Pelodiscus sinensis: one gene and its partner. The protein of the gene in region 2 interacts with the protein of the main gene of each other region in a pairwise test. Links are inferred from orthologs where the notes say so. Each region holds a gene or a part of one and is shown on either strand. Other genes may lie near its edges.

Region 1 (7,716 bases), on a different chromosome or scaffold from region 2:
GTTTTTGCAATACATTTTTCACTAGATTATGAAAAAAAAAATCAGATAGGGACACTCAGTGCAACACCAATTGAACATTTTTAAATTAGATTTTATATATGCTGGAACATTAGCAACCATTTGCCACAGAGAAATAAGGGGAGGGGAAGGACAAATAACATTGTGAAAAAATCTCAAGCTTTTCAATGTAAAAGTGTAGGTGGGGAGACACGAAGAGGAATGATCAATAAGATTGGGTTGAAGAAAAGAAAGAAATGTATAAGTAGCAGGGGATACCAAAAACCCTCAGAAGGGAAGAAGTGAAAGACAGATAGGAAACACGCACATTCAAGTATAATACATGTTAGCTTGCATTCAGGGTTGAGGCTCTGAGTTTATTTTGACTGCCCATCGAGTTAATTGCCACTATTAAACTGACAGCTTAAAGAAACTCTCCCCTTATGACTGGAGTGTCAGAAAAAGACTCAGTCCTCCTAGTACATAAGGGATTTCAGTTCTTACTGTATGTGAAGGACAGAGAAGATAGCAGGTAGGAAAATAAAATTTGCAACTTGGAGCAAAATAATTATTTCACATTGACAGACAAGCATATTATTTACTTTGATGAATTTAAAGGGATATTTTTTCATTTTCAAGAAGCTTTACCAGACTGTAAGTGATCTTCTCAAAGTAAATTGTAAACAACAACTACATTGACGATAACCGGAAGACACTGAGTCAATCATGACATTTTTCCACTCTTATTTTGGAATTGCTTGGCATACACAAAGTCAGTTTTGATCACCAGAACCTCTTGAACTTATATCAGCTTAATTTTCATACAGAGACTTATTTTACTGTAGCATTAAAACACTCCAGAAAGCGAATTTCACAGTGTTTATTGCAGTAATCAAGTACATTATGAATCAGGAGGACAAAGGGTTGAATGATTTCACTCACCAGAAAGTGAGGTATAAACCTTCTGAGCTGCACTACATGGCGTACTTTGATACAGTAATTGCAAATAGGAATTATAAAAATAGAGAAAAAAAGTCACAGCCCCATCATTTCCTAAGGATTAAAGATAAACATCAACACACAAGTGTAAACATGGATGCATTTAAGTAAACTGTTTAGCATGAACACCAATTAGTGCAAATAAAAATCTCCTTTTTCCTGTTACTTGGAATATTAAAAGCAATCCTATCAATGCTTACTTTGATTTCATCATACCTAAAAGCAACAATGCCATTTAAACCTGAAAACTATCTTAATAGCCTAATTTAAAGAAAAACTACTCCCATCTTTATATTCCGATTTTCCAATTTTTAGAAAGTGTTTATATTATAAGAGATACTATGATAATATAATAAAGCAAATCATAAACCGTTCCTTTCTTTTTTGGTGCATATCCTAGGGGAAGGATGCCTAATAGAAGTTTCCTAATTGTAGTGCATCATTTTCTGTAATATTAACTGCTTTTCAACTCTAGAGGGGGCTCTAGCCACACACTTCCAGTACACCACCAGCACCTCCTCTCCTCCAACTCAAAGGCTAGAGGATTTATTAACTTTCTAATCCATTTCTCCTTTGGGTTTCAAGTTGTACTCCTAGGCAAAAAAACCAAAAATGTGCATAGCTCCCAAACGGAGTGAAAGCACTTCGTCTCAGCTGGGTCACTTCCTTATGGTTCCTCAAGTTTGTACATTATATCTCCTAAAGAGCTTTCTCCCCACCCCTTCCCTTACATCCCTCCTAATGAGGTGTCACTTGAAGCCTCTTTAGTTTGGTACACAAAAGCTAAACACTTCTCCCCAAGATCCCTTACCTTATGATGACAAACATCACAAGAGAGTTGCCCACCAAGCCAACCACAAAGACCACAGAGTAAACAGCAGTGATGATAATAGGGATAGCTGGGGAAATGTTGGTGTGGTTCTGCTGCAAGTCTTCAAAGCCACCACTGGCATTGTTGCCATACTCGGCCCAGCCCAGGAGCCAGCTGCTGCTGCTGGGGAGGAGGCAGGGGCCTGGAGAGCAGGTGGAGCCTGGCTCTTCACGGAAAATGTGCACAGGGGGCTCCATGGGGTTCACTGGGACCACACACAGGGAGGCCAGAAATATGCTAGAAAAAGGAGAGAGAGAGTGAATGAACCACAATGTGCAAACTTTCCATTCAAACAGACCTGTGTTTCTAAATCAGTGGGGAGGGGAGTGCTTTAATAAGCATATTTAGATAAATACCATTTAATGAAACAACATTGTAACATTGCTTAATTGTTAAACGTAACAGGTAAGTGCTGGTAAATGCTGCCCATGAGATACGTGGCTGAAGTTTTCTCCAGGTAACAGAGATTACAGGTTGGGAACAAAACAGAAGAGATACGATAACAGTTTAGAAACAGCTCAATTCCACACCTCTGGTTTCCCCCTCTCGCCACATTTTTAAAGTCAAACAGTACCCTAATCTCTAGGTTCTCTTTCTGCCTTGACTACAATGAAGAGGGGAGGGGAGTGGAATCCACCCCTTTCACCACAATTGCGTGCCATTCTTCCCTCAGCGTTTACCACATTCAGATGTGACACCTTTCAATAAGAGAAACAAAATTTCAAAAATTACCTCTTTCAGTCCTGAAAAAGGATCAGTCTTCACACAAATGCTTTTAAGAGTAGTGTAGAAGCATCCTTTTGGCTCTTGGAGGTGTCACTGATCTCTTATGGCTTTTGAACCTGGAACATCTATGCCTCTGGAGAGCTGAAAACGTGCTAGAGATGAAGCTGAATCCCAGTCATTAGCTCCGAGGTGGCGGCAGCTGCTGCTGCTACAACTCCCAGCACTTCCCCCTTTTACACTCACACTATCTCTGTCTCACTCTCACTCTGCAAGGTCTCCAGCAGCATGCTGCACTAACTCACACATTCTCCTCCACCTCAGGCTCCGCAGCTCAAAAGCTCACATGACTTTTGTCTAAACACCGACAGGCAGACAAATTGAAAGGAAAGACAGACAGTAAGTTCTACTCTACCTGACTGCATCATTTCCATTCCCATACACTTTTCCAAGTTGTATTTCTCCCTTTCCTCCTCCTCCTGCGTCCCCCCACCCTGCAATTTAAAAGTCTTCAGGCAATGACACTTGCTCTCTTATTGAATATTCCAAATTTTGCAAACTAGAAGACATTGGACAGAACAGAAATGTCAGGCAACCCCCTTTTGGCTCCCCTCTTCCCCCTTTCCCCTTGAAACACAGGTCTGTTTGAATGGAAGGCATGCACATTGCATTTTGTAATATATTTTGAGAGAACAGAATGTAGATGCATGAAACTTGATCCAAACATGTGTGGGAGAAAAATCAAATAACTCCAATTGTGTCTAAAGGGGGGAACTGTGCAGAAATCATAACTTTCTAAAAGAAAACTGCTGTAAGGGTTAAAAAGTTTTCCAGGCCTTTCTCCCTGTAACAGAGAGAAATCAAATTAGCTCTAATCAAAGACCCTTACAAATGACTATCTCAAATTCATGGATACTCCTAGTCTGTCACAATTTGTCATGTAAACCCTTATCTTTGTCACAGTTTGCCTTGTAGACTCCTCCACTCAAGTTCTCATGTGGCTTTGTGTACTGTAAAAACTTACTTCTAGCACTCCTGGGGTGAACAGAAGTCTCAGAGTACTTCTGCTGAGACTTTGATATGTTAAAGAAGAACAATCCACAACTGAACTGTCTAAGCATTCTGTATATAGGATACCTGAATCTGTCTGTCAGGGCTGCTGCTTCACTCTTGGAAGTGACAGCCTGCATGCATGCATCATAAAGTTTTCTCTTCTAAGTTTCTTTCCTGCCTCACTGATTTGACCTCCGGCCTCGAACCCTTCTGGGGGCTCTGTACCCCAGGGGAGCGAGATTTCCCCCTCAATTTGGTGTCAGAAGTGGGATGGCTTGGAACTCCAGTTGGAAAGGCTGATGATGGGGAATGGGAACGGACTACAGCGCGCATCTGGAGGGTAAGGGATCCATTTAAAATCCCCCGGTCCGCCTCCCTGTTCTCGTCACCAGCTGGACCGGCTGGCGGTAAGAGTCATCTTTTACTTAAAATTTTTTTTTGTTAAGAGGCTTGAGGGAAACTTAAAACGAAAACACTGGGTATAGCCAAATAGGGGTTGGATTTTGTTGTTGTTGTTGTTGTTGTTGTTGCTGACTGATTGGTGGCGAGTCCAAGCACATGGTTTTGAGTGAGTGAAGTCCGGAGGGGGACCGCAGCCGCACCAGTGCTGTCAGTGTCACTGCACAGCTGCTGAAAGCAAGGGCGGTTTCCCCCGGCACATAAGGAGTGTGAGTGAAGCTGACAGTTTGTGTGGACTCCCACACTATCCTTGGAGAGGGTAGTGTTGCTGGACGCCTGTGCTATCCTTGGAGAGGGTAGTACTGTTGGGCTCCTGTGCTGTCCTTGGACAAGACAGTGCTAACATGGATAAGATTGCTCCCTCAAGTCTGTCTCCTACTGAGAGAAAAGGTTTCTCACAGCCTGGGACTCCCTTGTCTCAGATGATCAGTCAGCTAGGTATTGCCTGCAGGTTTGAAACTAAGGAGACTTAAGGAATTATTGAGCATTTGGGATGGCTATACTCAGGGGAATTCCCAGAATACATGGCAACTAGAGCTTTGACTTACAAAAGCTTGCTTATCTTAGAGTTTTCCTCGAGGAAAAACATCCTAACCAGATGGAATATTGGTGCCTCTGGGAGGATGTGACAGTAAAAAAAAAAATAATCAGAGCACTATGGCTAGCAAAAAAGATTCTATTGAAAAGCTGCAGCAAGAATTGGCTTCTCTAAACAGCTTGATTCCCCAGATGTGCCATCTGCACCCCCACCCCGCTTTGGACCCTTGTCAGCTGAACATTCTTTCCTGTTATCTCCCTGTTCTCTTGTAAACCTTATGGGACATGACTTGTTGTGTAAATTGGGTGCAAACCTTCTCTGTAGAGAGGAAGGGATATTTGTTGACCTTCCCCCCCATCAGACCCCAAAATTGATGGCATTACTACTCTCAGAGGAATCTGATGAGACCTCAGGATATACACCCCTCCTGGACCTCTCAGATGTCCCAGAGACATTGTGGGCAGCCCATGTGAATGAAGTGGGGTTGCTAGCCTCTGCAACACCAGTGCAAACAACATACAGACACAACAAGCCTTTCCCAAGGGTAGCCCTGTATCTATTGGCTAGGGAGGCACAAGAGGGCATTAAGCCTGTAATCTCTCCCTCCTTAAACAAGGGATACTTGTTTATACAACTTCACCATGTAATACACCTATACTACCTGTGAAAAAGCAAATCTATAGATTTATAGAAGACCTAAGAGCCATTAATAAATTTGTAATCCCTAGATTTCCAGTAGTACCTAACCTGGTTTTCTGTAATAGATTTATGTTCTGCCTTCTTTTCTATTCCAGTGCATAAGAATTCCCAATTTCTCTTTGCCTTTTCCTTTCAGGGTCATCAATTAACCTGGACATGTTTTTGTAAAGTTATTGTAAAAGCCCTACTCTGTTTTCTCAGTTTTTTAAAAAAAAGCTGACCTTAATTCTCTCTCTCTTCCCTACAGTTCTGTGTTAGTTCAGTATGTTGATGATGTGTTAATTGCTAGTAAAACTGAGGAAAGATGTAAAACTGATACCTCCTATGTGTTAAAGTGTCTTGCTAATAAGGGTCACAAGGCTTCCAAAGCCAAATTGCAATTTGTAAAACAAAGAGTTCAGTACTTGGAACATTTACTTTTAGGAGATGGCCGCCAGTTAACACCTGAGCGAATCTCAAGTTTTTTTTTCATTCCTCACCCTTTCACCAAAGTCAGGTATACAAATTTCTGGGTACTGCAGGATATTGCAGACAATGGATTCCTAACTTTTCTGGACTCACCAGGCCCCTTACTATTCTACTCTTAATCTTAGCTCCTGACCCAGTGACCTGGTCCCCAGAATGTGAATCTGCTTTCCTTTCCCTTAAAACTCTTCTGCACAGTGGGCTTACCTAAATATAGCAAGCCTTTTACTCTGTTTTGTCATGAACAGGATGGAATTGCAGCTGGAGTTCTCTGTCAACCCCTTGGACCCACACCTCGTCCAGTAGCTTATTTTTCTGCAACACTGGACTCAGTAGCCCGTGGGTTCCCACTTTGTCTGAGGGCAGTTGCAGCTACTGCTGAATTACTTGAAAAAGGCCCAACCTGTCACATTAGGCCACAGCATTATCTTACAGGTCCCTCATGCTGTCTCTGCTCTCTTACAGCGACACCGCACTCAGCACCTATCTGTTCAGAGACAAACCCTGTATGAGAATGTTATCCTCTCTTCCCCAAATGTGGTAATTCAAAGATGTAATGTACTTAACCCAGCTACTTTTTCTCCTTTACCCTCTACTGGTAAAGCACATACCCATAACTGTGAAGAATTGCTTGAGCACTGTGTAAAGCCTCCCCAAGATTTGTCTGCTCAACTGCTGGAAAATGCAGTTCTTGTATTGTATACTGATAGCTCATGTAAAAGAAATGCAGTTGGTAAACTAAAGGCTGGATATGCAGTGGTCTCAGATAATAATGTTTTAAAGGTTCTTTTCTCTTCCAGGAATCAAAATCAGCTCAGGCTGCTGAGCTCATCGCTTTAATTCGTGCTTGCCTTTTAGCGTCCGGACAGTCTGCTGCCATTTATACTAACTCAAAGTATGCTTTCTCTGTCTGTCATGTCACAGGACAAATTTGGAAACAGCGAGGTTTCCTTACCTCTTCTGGCTCTGCTATCTCGCATGGTCCCCTTATCTCCCAACTCCTTGATGCTATTCAGCTACCCACATCCCTCTCTATTACCCATTGCCCGGCCCACACAGGTGCCACTGATCCTGTTTCTCTGGGTAATGGGAGTGCTGATGCAGCAGCCAGACATGCAGCAGAACATGGACCTCTGGCTCCCTTTCAGATTCTGGTCTCTCTTTCCCTCCCTGTTTCTTTGCAGGCCCTGATAGAACTACAGCAAGCTACTCAACCTGCAGAGAAAAACCTTTGGGAGAGAGCAGGCTGCTCCTTATCCCCAGCTGGGATAATGGGTGCACCTGATGGCTGCCCAGTCGCCCCAAAAATCTCTCACACGGCAGCTTGCTCAGGTGTCTCATCAAATGACACACATGAGCAAAAGGGGGGTGGCCTCACAAATCCCAAAACAATGGTACGCCCCAGGCATGCACCTAGAAGCTGTCTCAAGAATATCTAATTCATGTGTGATTTGTAAGCAGTTTAATGTTGCAGGAGGCCCACAGGCTAGCAGCCACACAGAAAGAAAAAAACCTAGACATAAAATGACGGTTAGAAGAGCTTGCATCTGCAGGTAAAGGAAGCCCTCCCAGTACCTACTGATGTACCGTGCCACAACATCCAACCAGGCGACTACGTGTTCGTGAAGGAACATCGCAGAAAGAATTCCCTGACAGCCCGGTGGAAAGGACCGTTCCAATTGCTGTTCATCACCCACACAGCAGTAAAGGTGAAGGAGGGCCCCTCGTGGATCCACGCAAGTCATGTACGCCGAACTGCAGATCCAACAGAGCTGATTGACCCCGTCACCCAGGACCCCTCCCTGGAGGAATCACCTGAGGACGAGGTTCAGCGGACCGAGGTGGCACTCTCAAACCAGACTGTTACCAAACCGGCCTCCACCAGGAGCTTCGAGGTACAACCTGAGAGGTA
Region 2 (7,858 bases):
AATGGTATCTTAGCAGTCCATTACCTTAACCACTTGGGGCACGTCATGGTATTGCTGGATGTAACTGTGTAGTGTATGCCTGGGTTGGGGGCAAATTGGGGAAAAGACTAGAAGAGGGAAGGAAAAGTACAGCCCCACAGTCATTCTGTCCTCCAATTTCCCAAGATACTGACAAGAAGTACTTAGTGAAAGCAGCAATGAAGCCACCTTTTTATATAAAAGATTGAATTCCAGTAAGATTTTTCCCATGATAGGGAAGAAAGGCGAGGTCACAATAAGTATGGGCCTGGGGAGGAAGAAGGGATGGTACTGGGATTACCACCCCCTAGAAAGCACTGGCATCCAACAGAAACTACCACTTCTAAAGAGATAGAAATGGTATGGGGATGTTTGGTTGACTGGCTTGAATAGATACTCGGTTTGTCTGAATAATTAAGTTGTCCAGGTGTCCATTCTTAAGAACCTGAAACCTTCTCAAAATAGCCATACTCCATCCAAACTGTCACTAGAACTTTATGTCCATCCCCCACCCTGGATTCTGATCCCAAAGGCCTGACAATCTGTTTGCAGAAAGAGAGAGAGAGAGGCATTTAGTAAAGGAAAAACCAAAGGGCAAATGCAGATTAACTCCTGATTGTCATGGGTGGTGTTTGCTGTAGTGTGGGAGGGTGCCAACACTCTCATCTCAATTACAATGCTTAGATCTGCTGGGTGCACTGCAAAGTAAGTCACAGAAATAACTGAAAAAAGCTTGCCAGATAATTCCTATTATCTCCTATACAGCTCGGCTGTGTCTACACTGGACCACTTATTCCGGAAAATCAGCTGCTTTTCCGGAATAAGCTGCCAGCTGTCTACACTGGCCCCTTGAATTTTGGGAAAAGCACTGACGATCTACTGTAAGAAGTCTGCTGCTTTTCCGGAAAAACTATGCTGCTCCCGCTCGGGCAAAAGTCCTTTTTCCAGAAAACTGTTCCGGAAAAGGGCCAGTGTAGACAGCCTAGTAGTCTTTTCCACAAAAAAGCCCCGATCGCGAAAATGGCAATCGGGGCTTTTTTCCGGAAAACCGCGTCTACATTGGCCACGGACACTTTTCCGCAAAAAGGGCTTTTCCGGAAAAGCATCCTGCCAGTGTAGATGCTCTTTTTCCGGAAATACTTATAACGGAAAACTGTTCCATTTTAAGCATTTCCGGAAAATCATGCCAGTGTAGACGTAGCCCTCTTCTAATGGTTCTGAGGAAGGTATTTTCCACTGTGGCTGAATGGACTTCCTCCTGCTGTTCCCGTCTGGGCCTCTGTACACAGAGTTTCTTCTTCACCTTAACCTGCAGCATATCACGCTGTTTTAGTTTCCCCTCCCCACCTCCCACCCCCGCCCAGATCTGCCAATGCATCTCAATCCTGACCTGCCTCACTCTTTGCTATTCCTGTTCTGGCCTCCGCATAGCCCTTGCAATGCATATCCATCATTACCCACAGAACAACCTGCTACTCTAATTCGCAGACTGCAGCACAAATCCTGACCTCACTTCTGACCTGCGGCACCCTTTATTATCCCAGGCCTAAGGCGCTGAATCTCATTTCTGACTAGCAACAATCCCCACCTACCACTCTGGTCCTGTGCTCAACATGCCTAGGCACTACCTCAATTCTAACCTGCAAAAATGCTTGCAAGTTCAATCATGGGGCCTCTCTAGTAAAGAAGAAAATGGTGCTGAATTGCGGCAAAAATGTGTGGCAAGGTTTTTCGTTCCCCTTGTGTCCATAGGGGATTACAGACTATTTTGGAAGGAAGCCCCTGAATCTAGGACAGACATCTCCAATGGGGATGAAAAGAAAGAACATTTGGAATATACCGAATAAAAGAAACCACAGAAATCAATTTAGTTCGCCATTTCCCTTTTCTAATTACTATAATAAAGGTAGAAGTTTTCCAAAAACACTCTAAAGGGACCTCAGAATGAGGAAGCACAGCTAGGCTGAGAGAACGTGACCTTGTTTTCTACGTGATTTTTTTTTCCCACAAAGAGATTAAATGAGATGTCAAAAGACTGAGTGATTGCTATAAATCTTCTCATACATGCAAGGACAAGGATAGAGCACAGTTGTATTGAAAAGACAAAACAAAACTACTAAAAGGAAAGGAAGATCTCTGGTGGCATCATAGAGGCCCTCCAGTTTTCCCCATGAAGGTTATATGATTAATTCACATACTATTTTCCACCATTTTTGCAAAGAAAATGGTTAACTTTCCTCACTTCCCCACAACATGCACAGAGACTGTCATAAGAAAGATGAACAGCATTTTTCCCTGCTAAATTGCTGCAGATTATGGGGGTGGAGAGAGCAGCAAGATAGACCCCACCACTCATTTACATATTAAAATAGCATCATTCTTTGTATATAAACATAGCTCAAACAGATATAGTTCTATAAACACAGATCAGGAAACAGCAGATTAAAAGCTGATCAGGACATATAGTAATAACAACCCCCAAATCCTTTAAAAATCCCTCACCCTTAAAATATAAGCCACAGAATATTTGATAAAACCAAGGCTACACAAATTGTTTGCAAAATATAATCAGCTGCAAATCAAGAACAGAAGGTGGCAGCAATCAATACACTATACTAAGAAAAATAATATATTCCACTCACAGGGACCCTGTCTGGATATTTCTTTCTGATTTTCTCCCCTTCTTTTTTTCTGTATTCAAAAGGATGATCTTCTTTGTACTGGAACTTCATGCTGGGTTTTTTTGGTGTCTCAAGTTTTTCCTTTTGAGATTGTTGATTTAAAGTGTCTTCTAAAGCCTTTGATATCAAAGATATAGGCTTCAAGCAAATTCTGGGGTAAGCTGAGAGTTTTCGGTGCTGCTTTGAATTCTTCTGTCAATTTCCCAGGTTACAGAAATACAGCTGATCATGGAACACAAACAACGATGTAGCAAATTCAGCATTGTGATGTCACAGGGAGAAGCTTCCATCATTCTAGGCTGCACCATTTCACCTGTAGAATAGGGAGAGACTGTACATTAATTAAATCGCATTTGCACACGGTTGTTAATGAAATACACGAAGATATATGTGCAAACACGGAATTATCATGCGATACTGCATCACTGAAAATACGGCCCTGCTTACTCTTTCAAATATATTTTAAAATTAGTCTCCCCCCTCCACTCTGTGTCCTATGGGTTGAGCCACACACTCCTGATACAAACGGGCTTCAGGGCTAAACCACTCCATGTGAAAGGGGAGGATCATGTGCTGCAAAGCAAAATAATAATAAACTCAAATATAAATTCTCTTTCTTTACTGTCTATCCGATACCTGCTAGCATTTCGGATCCATTACAGGCACGTATGGGAAGAACTAGGGACGGGGGGAGGAGGAGGGGCAAATCATCAAATGGGAAATATTTGGCTGAAAAAAATCTCGGCTTCTGTTCTGCGCTACGCAGGTTTTTATTCCTTTCCTAAAGTGGGTCACGTTTCTAGGCCCGTGTCTCTGTTTTGGGGGTCTGATCTTCTGTGGCTTGTTTTCCAGCACGCCTGCGTGTGTGACTAAAGCAGAAGCAAGGGCTGAGCAAGAGCATAAACTCGCCGTGACTCAGCGGGTTTTAACTGATGGTGGCAGAGCGGTGGACACTGGCCGGGGAGTAATCTGCTGGCAAAGAAGCGGATGTGTCCTTTGTTCCGAACAGGGTATGACTAGCGCAGCTCGTGTGCGCATAACCACCTGTAATGCTTGAACTTCAGACTGTCGGGCGGCTTCCTCCCCTCCCCAGGGCCGCCAAGAGGTGAGCTGGCTGCGGCTGCTGGGGAAGACAGAGCTCGTGACTTGAGTGAGTCACACACCTGCAACCCCACCATAACTGCCTCTGTCAACAGAGCAAAGGGAAGGCAGCCGGCGCTGAGCAGCTCCAGCTGGCTGTGGGAAGGGGATGGGGGAGGGGAAACTGATTGGTTAGAGCTGGGAGGCTAGGCAAAGGGGCTGCACCACTCTCCTGTGCCCCGTGTGTCCCTCGACCCCCCCCCCCCCCCCCGTCAGGAAATTCCTAGACCCGAGCATTTGGCATTGGAAGCAAAATACGCGCCTGAAAGCGAAAATCCTTGGCGCAGGGGAAGGATCCAAACCGAAAACAGGGGCGAAGGCTTTGTTCCGAATAAAAGTGCCATATTCAGGTTGCTATCATTCATGGAATCCATAAGCCATTCGCGTCTGGCCAGTCAGCAGTCACTTATGAAAACAATTCTGAATCCAGAAGGTCTCCCATAGTTTCTAACAAATTAGTAGTCTGAAAATGTGTACTAGAAAGAGTGGGCCCTATCCTAGAGGTCTGAGCTCTGCCTAAGAGACTCGGATATAGTCCCAGTTCTGTCACTAACCTGTTATGTGACCTTAAACAAATAATTTCCTGTGTTTCCCTGTCTGTAAAACGGGATGATGCCAATCTCCTTGGTAAAGTGTGTTGAGATCTGGTGTACAGCATTAGATAAGACTCATGGACTGTGTCTAGACTGCATCCCTTTTCCTTAAAAGGGATGCAAATTAGACGTATCGCAATTGTAAATGAAGCGGGGATTTAAAATCTCCCCTGCTTCATTAGCATAAAAATGGCTGCCGCTTTTTTCCGGCTCGGAGCTTTGCCAGGAAAAAGCGCCAGTCTAGACGCGGATCTTTCGGAAAATAAAGCCTTTTCCGAAAGATCCCTTATCCCTTATTTTAAGAGGGATAAGGGATCTTTCGGAAAAGGCTTTATTTTTCCGAAAGATCCACGTTTTGACTGGCACTTTTTGGCGGCAAAGCTCCGAGCCGGAAAAAAGCGGCAGCCATTTTTATGCTAATGAAGCGGGGGAGATTTAAATCCCCGCTTCATTAGCAATTGCGATACGTCTAATTTGCATCCCTTTTGCGAAAAAGGGATGCAATCTAGACGTAGCCATGTATTATTACTATACCTTATTCAGTATTTGTCATTCGTTCATGTTTAAAAAAGCTCAGTCATCCAGTTAAGGTGCAGAAAATGTACACACAATTCAGTTGACCAAGTGAACAACAGAAATAGCAAATAGTTGAAGTGAACAATTTGTAAATAAGCTACAATCTGGCCATTGTTCATTCAAGTTATTCAGTGGACATTTATAAACAGTAGACATTCCAGGGAAATCAGTATCAGTTCACAAGCCAGTTACTAACCAAGATAACTTCTTAATGAATGAGTCAGCCATCTCAGATCTGTAAATATATATCAGTTTTGCAAAATTATTGCACAAATGGGTCTGCACATGCACACACAGAATCTTAGGGCTGGAAGAGATCTCAGGAGTCATCAAGTGCAGCCCCCTGCCCAAAGCAGGACCAACCCCAACTAAATCATCCCAGCCAGGACTCTGTCAAGCCGGGACTTAAACACCTGGGCTATGTCTACACTGGCCCCTTCTTCGGAATAGGCATGCTAATTTAGAACTTTGGAATAGGGAAATGCGCGGGGGATTTAAATATCCCCCGTGGGATTTAAATAAACATGGCCGCCGCTTTTTTTCCAGCTTGGGGAAAAGCCGGAAAAGAGCGTCCAGACTGGTGCGATCCTCCGCAATAAAGCCCTATTCCAGAGGATCTCTTATTCCTCTTATTCAAGTAGGAATAAGAGATCCTCCGGAATAGGGCTTTATTCCGGAGGATCGCGCCAGTCTGGACGCTCTTTTCCGGCTTTTCCCCAAGCCGGAAAAAAAGCGGCGGCCATGTTTATTTAAATCCCGCGGGGGATATTTAAATCCCCCGCGCATTTCCCGATTCCAAAGTTCTAAATTAGCATGCCTATTCCGAAGAAGGGGCCAGTGTAGACACAGCCCTGTAGAGATGGAGATTCCATCACCTCCTTAGGAAACCCATTCCAGTGCTTCACCACTCTCCTAGGTAAATAGTTTTTCCTAATATCCAACCTAGACCCCACCATGCCACTGCAACTTGAGACCATTGCTCCTTGTTCTTCTATCTGTCACCACTGAGAACAGCCTCTCTCCATTCTGCTTGCTTACCCAGTGCCATCCATTAAGTTTAAGAACATAAGAATAGCCATAGTGAGTGAGACCAAAGGTCCATCTAGCCCAGTATCCTGTTTCAGACCATGACCAATGCCAGGTGCCCCAGAAGGAATGAAAAGAACAGATAATCATGTCACCACCAAGAAGCAAAATTTTTTTAAGGCCGATTTATATCAACTTATTTTAATCAGTGTAACTGATTTTAGTGTTGGCTGAAGCAGAGGCTGAGCTAAGCCACACACCAGGTAATAAAGGTCAAATAGGAACCCAGCTTTCCAGAGTTCAAATCCTGTAATCCGAGATGTCCAAGCTCTGTCTGTGCTGCAGCCCATGGTACCAGAAAGGGGACTTGGGCCATAGTGTGGGTGCAGCAGGATACTTCTGCAGTCACTAGTGACAGCAGACACTCAAACAGTTTTCTGCTGAGCTCTCTCATCTTCCAACAGCTGCTGTTCCTTTTCTAGGAACTATGAAGCAAAAGTCTGGTCCCGCAACTTTGTCCTCCATACTATGCACCAGCCTGCGCTTTTCCTGTTGCCTCTCACCATACCTTTCCTCTTTCTCAAGACCCTCGCTGTGTCTAGACTGGCCCCTTCTTTGGAAGAGGCATGCTAATTTCTAACTTTGGAATAGGGAAATCCGCGGGGGATTTAAATACTTGCAGGAATAAGAGATCCTCCGGAATAGGGCTTTATTCCGGATGATCGTGCCAGTCTGGACGCTCTTTTCCGGCTTTTCCCCAAGCCGGAAAAAAAGCGGTGGCCATGTTTATTTAAATCCCGCGCGGGATATTTAAATCTCCCGCGGATTTCCTTATTCCAAAGTTAGAAATTAGCATGCCTCTTCCGAAGAAGGGGCGAGTGTAGACATAGCCCCTCTGTTTGCTTAGCACTGTGCCTTCTTGTTGACTCTCTGCAGAAATTCAGCTGTGAGTTCATCACAGAAATGCTTCTTGTTGGTGCGACAAAGAAAGGTAGATTGATCCAGGCTCCTGTTGCAGTGGGGGCGAGCTATGGAGCTACAGAGGCAGTGGTTGAGTGGCCTGGAATAGGACACGACACGAGGTTATTGTCTCTCAGAGCTCAATACAGGAGCACAGAAAATATCCTTGCGAATCTGAAAGACATTAAAATGTTACTTTTCCAAACGGAATGTCAATATATTGTGAATGGGATGCAGAGACGTTCCTCGAACACAGTCAGGTTATTCACAGTGAAAGAAGCACTGACACAATTGAAAATTAAAAAGGCTGTTTTCCCCTGAAGAGAGCAGAAGCATTTGGATGTAGGGGGGCAGCTCCGGCCATGCTACAAAAGGGATTTGTACAATTTCAGGCTTTCCACAGTTTGGAGGCTATAATGGTTCTTGTGGCGCCTGATTGGCAAAGGGAGGTGTTATGCTGAGCTGCCCTTGGGAAGCGATCAGTGTATGCAACTGAAACATTCAAATATATAGACAGAACTATGCAGCACTTTAAAGACTAACAAGATGGTTTATTAGGTGATGAGCTTTCGTGGGCCAGACCCACTTCCTCAGATCAAATTGTGGAAGAAAATTGGCATGACCAAAGGGATACAATTTGATCCGAGGAAGTGGGTCTGGCCCACGAAAGCTCATCACCTAATAAACCATCTTGTTAGTCTTTAAAGTGCTGCATAGTCCTGTCTTAGGTTTCAGCTAGACCAGACGAACATGGCTACCTCTCTATTACTATTCAAATATATAGTGACTGAACAGCACATCTATCAGTGGAGTGGCCTGGTAAGCTACTGGGATGGCCCTGAAAAAAACCCTGCACCAAAACGT

The links.
Region 1: the proteins of GABARAPL1 (region 2) and OPRK1 interact in binary tests that used the Homo sapiens proteins (3 or more experiments, as listed by UniProt). The link is inferred for Pelodiscus sinensis from reciprocal best matches to the Homo sapiens genes GABARAPL1 and OPRK1.

Annotation. Positions count from the first base shown.
Region 1 is NC_134712.1:66,150,404-66,158,119, reverse strand, and holds the start of OPRK1 (kappa-type opioid receptor), read right to left. Parts: upstream 3,012-7,716; 5' UTR 2,600-3,011; intron 2,105-2,599; 5' UTR 2,065-2,104; coding exon 1,808-2,064; intron 1-1,807. UniProt on the Homo sapiens protein: G-protein coupled opioid receptor that functions as a receptor for endogenous alpha-neoendorphins and dynorphins, but has low affinity for beta-endorphins.
Region 2 is NC_134711.1:135,297,358-135,305,215, reverse strand, and holds the start of GABARAPL1 (gamma-aminobutyric acid receptor-associated protein-like 1), read right to left. Parts: upstream 3,013-7,858; 5' UTR 2,751-3,012; coding exon 2,661-2,750; intron 1-2,660. UniProt on the Homo sapiens protein: Ubiquitin-like modifier that increases cell-surface expression of kappa-type opioid receptor through facilitating anterograde intracellular trafficking of the receptor. Involved in formation of autophagosomal vacuoles.